Sus scrofa: one gene and its partners. The protein of the gene in region 2 interacts with the protein of the main gene of each other region in a pairwise test. Links are inferred from orthologs where the notes say so. Each region holds a gene or a part of one and is shown on either strand. Other genes may lie near its edges.

What was found.
Region 1: the proteins of KIFC3 (region 2) and NEFL interact in binary tests that used the Homo sapiens proteins (3 or more experiments, as listed by UniProt). The two-hybrid records come from large-scale screens. The link is inferred for Sus scrofa from reciprocal best matches to the Homo sapiens genes KIFC3 and NEFL.
Region 3: the proteins of KIFC3 (region 2) and LENG1 interact in binary tests that used the Homo sapiens proteins (3 or more experiments, as listed by UniProt). The two-hybrid records come from large-scale screens. The link is inferred for Sus scrofa from reciprocal best matches to the Homo sapiens genes KIFC3 and LENG1.

Annotation. Positions count from the first base shown.
Region 1 is NC_010456.5:8,994,084-8,998,115, reverse strand, and holds the start of NEFL (neurofilament light polypeptide), read left to right. Parts: upstream 1-1,215; 5' UTR 1,216-1,309; coding exon 1,310-2,356; intron 2,357-3,364; coding exon 3,365-3,489; intron 3,490-3,894; coding exon 3,895-4,032. UniProt on the Homo sapiens protein: Neurofilaments usually contain three intermediate filament proteins: NEFL, NEFM, and NEFH which are involved in the maintenance of neuronal caliber.
Region 2 is NC_010448.4:19,668,510-19,672,110, reverse strand, and holds part of KIFC3 (kinesin-like protein KIFC3), read left to right. Parts: intron 1-287; coding exon 288-461; intron 462-1,185; coding exon 1,186-1,333; intron 1,334-1,415; coding exon 1,416-1,546; intron 1,547-3,273; coding exon 3,274-3,385; intron 3,386-3,601. UniProt on the Homo sapiens protein: Minus-end microtubule-dependent motor protein. Involved in apically targeted transport. Required for zonula adherens maintenance.
Region 3 is NC_010448.4:55,969,055-55,973,401, forward strand, and holds the start of LENG1 (leukocyte receptor cluster member 1), read left to right. Parts: upstream 1-1,530; 5' UTR 1,531-1,616; coding exon 1,617-1,748; intron 1,749-2,853; coding exon 2,854-3,033; intron 3,034-4,347. Other genes in the region: TMC4 (transmembrane channel-like protein 4), read left to right, coding at 160-290, 398-553, 783-861, 947-1,015.

The DNA.
Region 1 (4,032 bases), on a different chromosome or scaffold from region 2:
GGATGTTTCCTAAAAGAAATCCATGGATTTCGGACTGTATCTGTTCTGTATTATCAGAGTGAAACGGGTGTAAGAACCACACGGCTGTTTGCTGTCTGTCCCAGAACGAGAGGTCTCCGGGGCTGAGTTCTGCTCCCGGGAGGTGCGCTCCGCGCTCGGGGCGGTAGCAGCAGCTTCCCTCTGAAAAGCAGCCACCTGCATGGCTTGTTGAAATCATCAGGTTGGGTGCTCCACGGGTGTAAAAAGTGGGAAAGGGGGTTTTAATGCGATGGAGTTGGCGGTGTGGAGTAGGAATTTAGGAGTGAAAAAGAAACAGGCAGCGTGTGACAATCTTAAGTTCCCCTCTGCAGAGCTTGCCGCTGCCTCTGCAAGTGGGTTTCTCTTCGGCTTAGTTTCAAACCCATTCTCTCCTCCACCAACACGCTTCAACATGCTCGAAGTATTCGAGGCTTCATTTCCCAGAAATAAATGAGAAAAATCTAGGAACACTAGATAGATATGAACACTAGGTTGATATGAAATGTTCTAATAGTTTAGACATGCTAAAACCAACAGCTGCAGTGCCGCAGTTTCCCGTGTGTGTGTGTGTGTGTGTGTGTGTGTGTGTGTAGAAGCACACAAAAGAAAAAAAAAATAACCAGGAGAAAGGGATAAAGGGACATGAAGAAAGTGCCAGAAACAGCGACAAAGAATTATAAAACTTTCCTCCATGTATTCCGCATTCATACAGTCTTGGAAAATCATTTGTCTTTCCAATACCCCAAGGCATGGCACTGCCACCATTAACACTGGGGAGGGGGGGAAGGGGGATGATGACCCTTGGTGGGGAAGGGGCGAGTTGGGGGAGGAGAGGAGGGTGCCTCTGAGGTGTAGGGATATGGAAATCTAAGGTGTCAGTAGGGAGTGGGAACCTGTTATTGGGGACACATTCGAATCCGATCAAAGCATAAGTAGGATGGGGTGGGAATAGGAAAAGGAAATGAGTTAGGGGTTACAGCGTCTCACAGAAAACCGAGGGCCTCAGTGAAAAGTGCAAAGAACGAGAGCCGCAGCATCCCCGTGGCCTGTGGCTCGCCCCCGCCTTCCTTTTGCGCAGAATCCTCCCCTTGGCTGCAGCATAGCGCTGCCCCCACCGGCCAGGCGCGCCGTGATCGATCGCAGGCTGCGTCAGAATCCTCCCCGAGTATAAATAGGGGTGGCAGGACCGCGCCGAGCCGCACACAGCCATCCATCCTCCCCTCTCCCTCTCTCCCCTGTTCTCTCTAGGCCCCCATCTCCCCTGCCGGGCAGAGGGGCACCGACCGCCACCATGAGTTCCTTCAGCTACGAGCCGTACTACTCGACCTCCTACAAACGCCGCTATGTGGAGACGCCCCGGGTGCACATCTCCAGCGTGCGCAGCGGCTACAGCACCGCGCGCTCTGCTTACTCCAGCTACTCCGCGCCCGTCTCCTCCTCGCTGTCCGTGCGCCGCAGCTACTCCTCCAGCTCCGGCTCCTTGATGCCCAGTCTCGAGAACCTCGACCTGAGCCAGGTAGCCGCCATCAGCAACGACCTCAAGTCGATCCGCACACAGGAGAAGGCGCAGCTGCAGGACCTCAACGACCGCTTTGCCAGCTTCATCGAGCGCGTGCACGAGTTGGAGCAGCAGAACAAGGTCCTGGAAGCCGAGCTGCTGGTGCTGCGCCAGAAGCACTCCGAGCCGTCCCGCTTCCGGGCGCTGTACGAGCAGGAGATCCGTGACCTGCGCCTGGCGGCGGAAGACGCCACCAACGAGAAGCAGGCGCTCCAGGGCGAGCGCGAGGGGCTGGAGGAGACTCTGCGCAACCTGCAAGCGCGCTACGAAGAGGAGGTGCTGAGCCGCGAGGACGCCGAGGGCCGGCTGATGGAAGCGCGCAAAGGGGCCGACGAGGCGGCTCTCGCCCGCGCCGAGCTCGAAAAGCGCATTGACAGTCTGATGGACGAAATCGCCTTTCTGAAGAAAGTGCACGAAGAGGAGATCGCCGAGCTGCAGGCTCAGATCCAGTACGCGCAGATCTCCGTGGAGATGGATGTGTCCTCCAAGCCCGACCTCTCCGCCGCGCTCAAGGACATCCGCGCCCAGTATGAGAAGCTGGCCGCCAAGAACATGCAGAACGCCGAAGAGTGGTTCAAGAGCCGCTTCACGGTGCTGACCGAGAGCGCCGCCAAGAACACCGATGCGGTGCGCGCAGCCAAGGACGAGGTGTCCGAGAGCCGCCGACTGCTCAAGGCCAAGACCCTGGAGATCGAAGCCTGCCGGGGCATGAACGAAGCGCTGGAGAAGCAGCTGCAGGAGCTGGAGGACAAGCAGAACGCCGACATTAGTGCTATGCAGGTCAGGCACAGGGCAAAGCACAGTGGGGGCGGGAGGGGGCTGCAGAGTCGAGTTAGAATTGGGGTTGGGGGGAGAGTTTAAGGCGAGCCTAGAAAGTGGAGATCAGAGATGAGGCATCTGCATTCAGCTCTTAGGGGGTAGAACTTGGCTCCTGGGAGGCTGTGGGAGGGGGTGGGGGCGCAACTGCAGTCCGCAAAGCTGTGCTTGGTGCAGCCGAATTTCTGTTCTGCATAAACCTGCCCAGGCCTGCAGGGGGTTGGGTGGGGTGGGGAAAGGTTGGAAGCTGGGCGTTGCCTCTGGCCTGCTTCTGCTGTTCTGCGTTCACAAGTGGCTTTACTGCACAGATTGAACCATCTGATTAATAAATACAGCAAAGAGCTCTCATTAGTTCTGAAGGGTAACTGTGACCAGCAGCTTTCTTAGTTTTACCAACCACTTCCTTCCCTTAGCAGGTAGACAGGAATACAGTCAAAATTGTAGCAGGTAATCATGGTCACAGTAAAACATTTATTTTTTAAGGACCTCCAGCTTCAGGGGAGGAGAAAAAATAATATAGAGACATAAAAAATATTTTGGATAAATTTTTAAAATCTCCAATTTAGATACTTTATTCTATGAACAGGTGGATTGCTTATATGTAATCTGGTTAAAGTTAACCAGTCAATGAGAAACAAAGATTTTTAAAAATCAGTTTAGTTCCTTGCAGGCATTTTATGATGATGGTCAGGCTGTATTATTAACAAACCAGAAATTTTTCTTCTATCAGTTTTTTTAAGCTCTCTCTCTCTCTCTTTTTTTTTTTTTTTGGTTTTCAAGATTTACGAAGCTGGATTTTTAGGCAAGAAAAGAAAGGTTTAAAAAGAGAAAAAGTAGTTATTTTAAGGGAGATTTTTATCTAAGTGTGCACCTTATTTTAATTAAACCTAGGCCTTTGCAGCTATGTTATAGTAAAATGAGAGCAGTAGGAATTTATACTTGGATTTCTTTTTTTCTTTGGTCTTCCAACAGGACACAATTAACAAATTAGAAAACGAACTGAGAACCACAAAGAGTGAAATGGCAAGATACCTGAAGGAATACCAAGACCTTCTCAATGTGAAGATGGCTTTGGACATTGAGATTGCAGCTTACAGGTAAAAATGGAGGGATGAAGGTAGCAGCCCTTCAGCCTTAGGAAGGAAATCAGACTTCTTTTACGGTGAATCAGAAACCTTCAAGAATAGTCTTGAAATAATTGGCTTTAAAATAAAAGGCCCTTTTTGGCCTTTTCCAAGAAGAATTTAATCCTGTAATAATAAGACCTGTTCTTAGCTTCCCATTACATTTCAAGTCTAATAGGCAGGGCTATTTTTAGGCCTTTTTTTTTTTTTTTTCTGGTCTCAATCATAACATCCCCAGTTGTTACGTTTTGATAGTCTTCAACCCTGCTCCTGCCTGCCTTTGCCTTTAAGGGTGGCATTGGTGAGAGGGATGAGTGATGGGCTCAGCACACTTCTGGTTTCATGTTTGTTTGTCCCATCTTCCCTCTGCCTCTGCAGGAAACTCTTGGAAGGTGAGGAGACCCGGCTGAGTTTCACCAGCGTGGGAAGCTTAACCACTGGCTACTCTCAGAGCTCCCAGGTCTTTGGCCGATCTGCCTATGGCGGTTTACAGACCAGCTCCTACCTGATGTCCAC
Region 2 (3,601 bases):
TGTGTGACAGCCACGGACACCATGCATCATTAGATTTGCCCTTGTCTTTGCCCTTCTTGACTGTTCTGTGCCCAGTCTTGGGCCATAGCCAGGCTTGTGGTGGGCTCATGAAGGTGAGCAGATTCCAGGAGGCCCTTGCAGCACTCTGGAGAGTTAAGACCTCGTGGCTGCTCTAGTTTATTTCTGCGGGCTGTTGATCAGATGTTCCTGAGCTTCCCCTCAGGGGCCCAGGGTGAGGTCAAGGCACCCACTCACCTCCATGCACCTGTCCCTCCCTCCCCTCACAGTATGTCATCAAGACAGTGGAGGTGGAGTCGTCCAAGACCAAGCAGGCCCTCAATGAGTCCCAGGCCCGGAACCAGCACCTGCAGGAGCAGGTGGCCATGCAGAGGCAGGTGCTGAAGGAGATGGAACAGCAGCTGCAGAGCTCGCATCAGCTGACTGCACAGCTCCGGGCACAGGTGTGTGGCACTTGCAAGGGGGCACCGGTCTATCTGGGCAGCATGTGTGTGCCCCACCCAGTGCCACAGGCTGGCCTTTGGCACAGTGCAGCAGCCCAGCACTTGGGGTCCGACACACCCAAGATTCAGTCCCTCCTTTCCCTGCTGGCTGTGTGACCAAGGGCAGGTTTTTGTTTCCATACCTATAAAATGATCTGATCACGGAACCCACCTCCCGGTGGGGCTTGACCTAATCACAAGATTCGCTTAGGGCCTGGCACACACTCTTAGAAGGGTGCTCTAGTCAGTTTTATAACAAATGGAGTTCCCGCTGTGGCTCAACAGGCTCGGTGGTGTATTGGGAGTGTTGGGACACAGGTTCAATCCCCAGCCGGCACAGTGGGTTAAGTAGCGGCATTGTGGCAGCTGCAGCTTAGGTCACAACTGTGGCTCAGATCTGATCCCTGGCCTTCCCATATGCTGCTGGGTGGCCAAAAATAATAATAATAATAATTAAAAAAATATATATAACAAATGCTCTGCCTTACTGTCCGGGGGCCTGATCTGTTACGGGCTGGGACCCAGGCTGATGCTGGCCTAGGTCGGGAAGTAGCTGCATGGAGCGCCCAGCCCCTTCTGGGTGAGACGCCACCCTGCCCCACCTGTGTGTGCGTGTCTGTGTGTGAGGGGCGGGGCTTCCTCCCTTCCCGGGCTGGCAGCGCTGAGCTTCCCGCCCTGGCCTCAGATTGCCATGTACGAGTCAGAGCTGGAGCGGGCGCACGGGCAGATGCTGGAGGAGATGCAGTCCCTGGAGGAGGACAAGAACCGGGCCATCGAGGAGGCCTTTGCCAGAGCCCAGGTGGAGATGAAGGCCGTGCACGAGAATCTGGCAGGTGAGCCGGTCGGTGGCACCTTAGCCATTCCCACGCCACGGCCCTTCGCCCTGTCTGCCGCACACCCCTTGTATCCCCATAGGTGTCCGGACCAACCTGCTGACATTGCAGCCAGCACTGCGGACCCTGACCAACGACTACAATGGACTGAAGCGCCAGGTGCGCGGCTTCCCACTGCTGCTGCAGGAGGCGCTCAAGAGCGTCAAGGCCGAGGTGAGTGGGGGCTGTGGTGGTGGAGCTGAGAGAGGCTCTGGAGCCCCTGGTGGGACGCAGCATCCACCCAGTGCTCCCTTCCAAAACTTAGAGAAGCCCCAGGCAGTAGCTCCCCTCTGCACATCCTCAGACCATTTGAAACAGTCTAGGCGTTCCTGCTGTGGCTCAGTGGGTTAAGGATCCAGCTGCAGGAGTTCCTGTGGTGGCTCAGGAGAAATGAATCCAACTAGGATCTATGAGGATGCTGGTTAGATTCCTGGCCTCACTCAGTGGGTTAAGGATCTGGCATTGCTGTGAGTTGTGGTGTAGGTTGCATACGTGGCTCAGACCAGCAACTGTAGCTCAGATTCGACCCCTAGCCTGGAAACCTCTATATGGCACCGGTGTGGCCCTAAAAAGCAGAAAAAAAAAAAAAAAAAAAAAAAAAGCAAGGATCAAACCATCCAATCCAATCCATCAGCTCTGGTCACTGTGGAGGTTCAGGTTCCATTCCCTGCCTGGCATACAGTGGGTTAAAGGTTGAAGGATCCTGTGGTGCCCAGAACAGTGGCAGTAGGTCACAGGTGCAGCTGGGATTCAATCCCAGGCCTAGGAACTTCCATATGTTGCAGACGTGGCCATTGAAAAAACAAAACACAAAAAAAACAGCAACCTGGTTGGGGCATAGGTCTTTGGGTATTTGTCTTGTCATGACTCTTTGAACCAAACCTGTCACATGTATCTCTATATCCCATACGTGCTATGCATATCTTTATATCTCAAGTATGCTACATATAGTCTTACATCTGTTAGACTTAATTTTCTCAAGCTGTTCTTGTGCAGTATGAGAATAGCCAATGTCTCTTAAGTGCCTCCTACGTGCTGAGCCTTTTATAGCCATCAGCTCCTTGAATGTGTATGACAGCTCTGTGGGGTAGAGAGACTGATATATTTTGGGAATTGAAAATAGTTCTCCTTTAAAAAATTATGTCAGTAATACATGGACTTGTTGAAAGTTCAGCCCCCGCAGAAGGGTATCAGACGGAAAGGGGAAAGGCCTTTCTCTGCCACCCAGCCTGCTCCCCAAAGGACACCTGTCTCCCAGCATTTTCCCTGAAAGGTGTTCTGAGCCTGATGAAAACTACTGACATAGGTATATGTATATATGCACTTTCTTTTCACTCAGCAAAGGGGAACAGGTGGACGTGTGTGTATGTGTATACATGTGTGTACAGGTGGACGTGTGGTCGGCATCTTGTTTCTTTTCCCTGTGAAGTGTAACTTGGAGATAGATCTTTACCTTCCAGCGCCTATAGACCCATGAGTTAGATGTTATCCCCATTTGACAGATGAGAAAATTGAGGCTCGAAGACATTGAGCCAGTTGCTTCCTGTCCTCCAGCTCCTGAGGGGACAGCTGGGATTTGGGTCCTGCCGAATCATGTAGTCGAGTGCTGGTGCTGTGGAGTGAGGTTGAGGGCTGAGTCCCAGCTCTTTGCCCATCATCAGCAGGGCAACCTTGAGATTGGCTTAGCCTTTCTGGGGCTCAGTTTCTTCCTCTGTAAAATGGGCTTGGAAGCACTACCTACCCGAGGGGTTATTGGGAAATTGGGGAAATGTGCTGTGTGACAGCACATGTCAAGTACTCAGCCCAGGGTGGGAGGCAGTGAGCAGCCTATCAGGCAGGTGAAGCTGGTGGAGCTAAACCCCTGAGCTGGCCCCCTGACGGTGCTGCGCATCCCCCACCAGATCGGCCAGGCCATCGAGGAGGTCAACAGCAACAACCAGGAGCTGCTGCGCAAGTACCGCCGGGAGCTGCAGCTGCGCAAGAAGTGCCACAATGAGCTGGTGCGGCTGAAAGGTGACTGCTGGGTGGGCAAGGGGGGACCTAGTGCAGGGGTCCCTGACCTGCCTCCAAGCTGATCAGTGGAGGTGACCCTTCCCCATGGCCCCTAGCACCACTCCTTGGAGCATCCCTTAGGAGCTTTTGTGATTCCCTCTTTGTATACAAGGAAATCAGCACAGGGACGTCACAGGGAATTTGCTCAAAACGGCATGGCCAGCGAATGGTCCACCT
Region 3 (4,347 bases), about 36 Mb from region 2:
CAGGTCTGAGGGAAGAGGGGACCCGGACTACTGTGTCCGATGGTGTTAAAAGAACTGGGACTCCAGGATCCTGACTGAGAAGAGGGGGCCAGGGTTCCCGGTGGAGGAGAGTCTGGGGCTCAGACGCCTGTGTCTCACATTCTCTCCTTCCTGCGCCAGCTCACCCTCTTCTCCACCTGCTCCCCGGCCTCCCGCACATTTCGGGCCTCTACTGTGAATTTCTTTTTCCCCCTGGTGCTTCTCCTGGGTCTGGCCATCTCCGCCGTTCCTGTGCTATATGGCATCTTCGTGTAAGTGTGAGAGGCACCTGCCTCTCTTTCCCTCCCTCTTCCCACTTCCCTCCAAGGTTCTGACTTGTGGCCATCCTGGAGCTCTGCCTGTCTGTCTCTGACTTCAGGATCCCACCTTCTAAGCTGTGTGGTCCATTCCGGGGGCAGTTGTCCATCTGGTCCGAGATCCCTAAGTCTATCGGAAGCCTCCCCGAGACTGCCCAGAATTTTCTCTTCTTCCTGGGGACCCAGGCATTTGCTGTGCCCCTTCTGCTGTTATCCAGGTGAGGGCCCCAGACTCCTGCATCCGGGTTTGAACGTGTGATCTGGGGTCCTACTTCCGAGAACGGAGGGGGCTGGGGGCCCAAACTTCTGGGTCTGCGGGAAGAAGGGAACTGGGATACTAGACTTCTTGAGTCTGAAGGAGGTCCGGGCCCCTGGTTTCTAAAAGAGTCTTACGTCGAAGATACACTAAGCGTGTTTGGGGAGTGGCTTTCATTCCGTCTCCTCTAGCATCCTGATGGCATATACTGTGGCCCTGGCTAACTCATATGGACGCCTCATCTCTGAGCTCAAACGCCAGATAGAGACGGTGAGTCAGGCCGGGTCCTTGGCAAGGGGTCCCGGGGAATCTAGAGATCTGTCTCACCTCCACCTCTCTTTACCCTTTACCCCAGGAGGCACAGAATAAAGTCTTCCTGGCACAGCGCGCTGTGGCACTGAGCTCGGCCAACGGAGCTCTTTGACCTTCCCAGCCTGGTTCAGGGTGACGACGTCTCGCTTTCAGACAGAGACCCACCCCCAGATCCTTTGAAGGTCTCGGCCGCGTCGTTTGGAAAATGAAAGAACTGGAGAACATCCCATGCCTTTCCAGCCCTGGGGGTCGCTGCCTCTCCAGTGAACCCCTTTCTTGTATCAATAAACACAACGGAGGCTGCTGAACGCTTTTTGAAACTTGTGTCCGGAAGCCGGGGGCAAGACTTCAGCGAGACAGAAGCCAATCAAATGCGTTGGCCGGGGAGGGTTGGTGTGGAGGGCATTTCCTCGAGAACACCTGGTGGGCGTGTCAGCCAATCAGCGGCTGCGTTCGGCAGCGTCAGGGCGGGGACACTTGTGATGGACTCGGGATCTTCAGGAGAGGCCGTCGCTGGGCGACCGCACGCGCGATGCTCCGCGATGGGAGGTGGGGGTCTCAGCCAATCAGCCTTTGCTACGGACCCGGGGGGGCGTGCCAAGTAGTCTAGGACCAATCCGTGACCGAGGCAGAAACAACAGGGAGGGGCCATCCTCCTGCCAATCGGAAGTGCTAGGAGGCGGGCCTGCCAGTTCGCGGACAGCTACGGCGCCATGAATATCCTACCCAAGAAGAGCTGGCACGTCCGGAACAAGGACAATGTGGCCCGCGTGCGGCGTGACGAGGCCCAAGCCCGGGAGGAAGAGAAAGAGCGTGAGCGGAGGGTGCTTCTCGCTCAGCAAGAGGTAAGCACCGAGCCCGGCCGGGGCTCCGGGGCTGAGCGCGCAGGCTCCTCGGGAGGGACCGGAAGCGGTGCGGCGCGCAGGCGCAGGGCACACCGTGGGGAATTTGGGGCTGGGTGCTTTGGAAGTATCTTCTCCTAGTGCTTTGATTAGCTCTCCTTGAACTCTCGCCGCTCTTGCTCTTCCCCCGCTCCTGTACTTCTCGAGGCCATAGTAGGAGCTCATGAAAAAACGAAGCCCTGAGTAGTTCAAGGAAACCCGGGCTACTTTTCAGTTTGCCTGCGCAAAGTCCCCATTTAGTGAGCGCCTGCTGCAGAACGCTTGACTTGCAAAATATCTCAAGCACCGTTCATTCTTAGAGGAGGCGCTATCATTTCTATTTTGCAGAGGGGTGAGATGCCTTCAGAGAGGAGGCCACAGCGAAATGACAGTGGAACAAGGCAATTCAGTTTTATCGGGCGAGCCCTTTGCCTGCACTGCCGGCCACACAGAAACACCAGAGGCAGTCTTTGTAACTCCTCACCTGTTTGATTTACACCTCACTTCCAGTCCTTTAGCTAATTTGGTGGTCAGCACTGGCTGGGGGATAGTTAGGGCTTTTAAAATTCTCATTTATCACTAGAAATTGCAAACCAACCGGGGATAGTGACTCGAAGCCCAACCTGGAATTCAGATCACCTGTTCTAATACATGTTTTGGTTGCCTTCATAGCGGTTTTTCTGTTTGTTTTTTTTTGGCAGTGCCCACCGCATGTGGGAGTTCCCAGGCCAGGGACTGAACCTGAGCCTTAGCAGCGACTTGAGCTGCTGCAGTGACAAGGCGGGGTCCTTAACCCGCTGCGTCACAAGGGAACTCCATTAATAGCTGTTTTTATTGTGTCACTGGAAATTCGGAATCCCTCTGGTTTTCTGTTTGAAAGGTAGCTTGCAAACCCAGATATTGCCTTATTTCTCCACCTTTTCTCGAAGCTGGGGCAGGTGCCTTTCCTGGCTCCGAGTGCCTCTGCTCCCTTCCTTACAGCCCCCGTCTGTGGTTGGCACTAGATTCACTGTTCCTTGAATCACATCTAGGTTCTGAATATTCTGCCTGTAACTTTCTTTTCCCCCAGGCCCGCACGGAATTCCTGCGGAAGAAAGCTAGGCATCAGAACTCACTGCCTGCGCTTGAAGCAGCAGAAGCAGGAGCCCCAAGGTCTGGCCCTGTGGATCTGTTTCGGGAGCTGCTAGAGGAAGGGAAAGGCTTGAGCAGAGGCAATAAAGAGTACGAAGAAGAGAAGCGACAAGAGAAAGTAAGTTGGTCCTGCCCTCTCCATCAGTCATGGATGGAGCTGGGGCTGGGGGAGCACCTTGCTTTCAGGTGTGACTGAGGGGTATTTAGGGACACAGAAGGAATCATATAGCTAATTTAGAGAACTCTTAAGAGTAATGAGGAAGTCCCTTTGTGGCTCATCAGTTAACGAACCCGACCAGGATCCATGAGGATGTGGGTTCCATCCTTGGCCTCGCTCAGTGGGTTAAGGGTCCGTTGTTGCTGTGAGCTGTAGTCTGGGTCGCAGACGCGGCTTGGATCCCCCATTGCTGCGGCTGTGGCGTAGGCAATGTGGGAAGACCCCTAGCCTGGGAACTTCCATATGCTAAGGGTGCGGCCTTAAAATAAAAAAGAAGAGTACTGAAACATAGCAGTCAAGAGAAGTTGGTTACTGTCGGGGTGCTAAGTACAAACCTGTCAGGTCTCTAACCTGGTGTCCAGATGTATAGATATCTGGGGAGTGTTAAGGAGCTTTGATTTTATTTTTTTTTAAATTTTTAAAATTATAGTTGATTTACAATGTTCTGTCAATTTCTGCTTTTCAGTAAAGTGACCCAGTTAAACATATATACATGTGTGTGTACATATATATATACATTCTTTTTCTCACATTATCCTCCGTCATGTTCCAGCACAAGTGACTAGACATAGTTCCCTGTGCTGTGCGGCAGGATCTCATTCTCTCTCCACTCCCACTCCCTTGGCAACAAGTCTCTTCTCCAAGTCCATGAGTTTGTTTCTTTTCTGTAGAAAGGTTCATTTGTGCCACGTATTAGATTCCAGATATAAGTGATAATGTATGGCATTTGTTTTTCTCTTTCTGATTTACTTCACTTAGTATGAGAGTCTCTTGTTCCATCCATGTTGCTGCAAATAGCATTATTTTGTTCTTTTTTATGGCTGAGTAGTATTCCATTGTGCATATGTGCTACGTCTTCTTCATCCATTGTCTGTGGATGGACATTTAGATTGTTTCCACGTCTTGGCTGTTGTGAATAGTGGTGCAGTGAACATACAGGTGCGTGTGTCTTTTTCAGTGAAAGTTTGTCTGAATATATGCCCAAGAGTGGGATTGCTGGGTCATACCGTACTACTATATCTGGTTTTCTGAGGTACCTCCCTACTGCTTTCCACAGTGGTTGGACTGATTTACGTGTAGGAGGGTACCCCTTTCTCCACACCCTCTCCAGCATTTGTTTGTAGATTTCCTAATTATGGCCATTCTGAACAGTGTGAGGTGGCACCTCAGAGTAGTTTTGATTTGCGTTTTCCTAATAATTAGTGATGCTGAGCA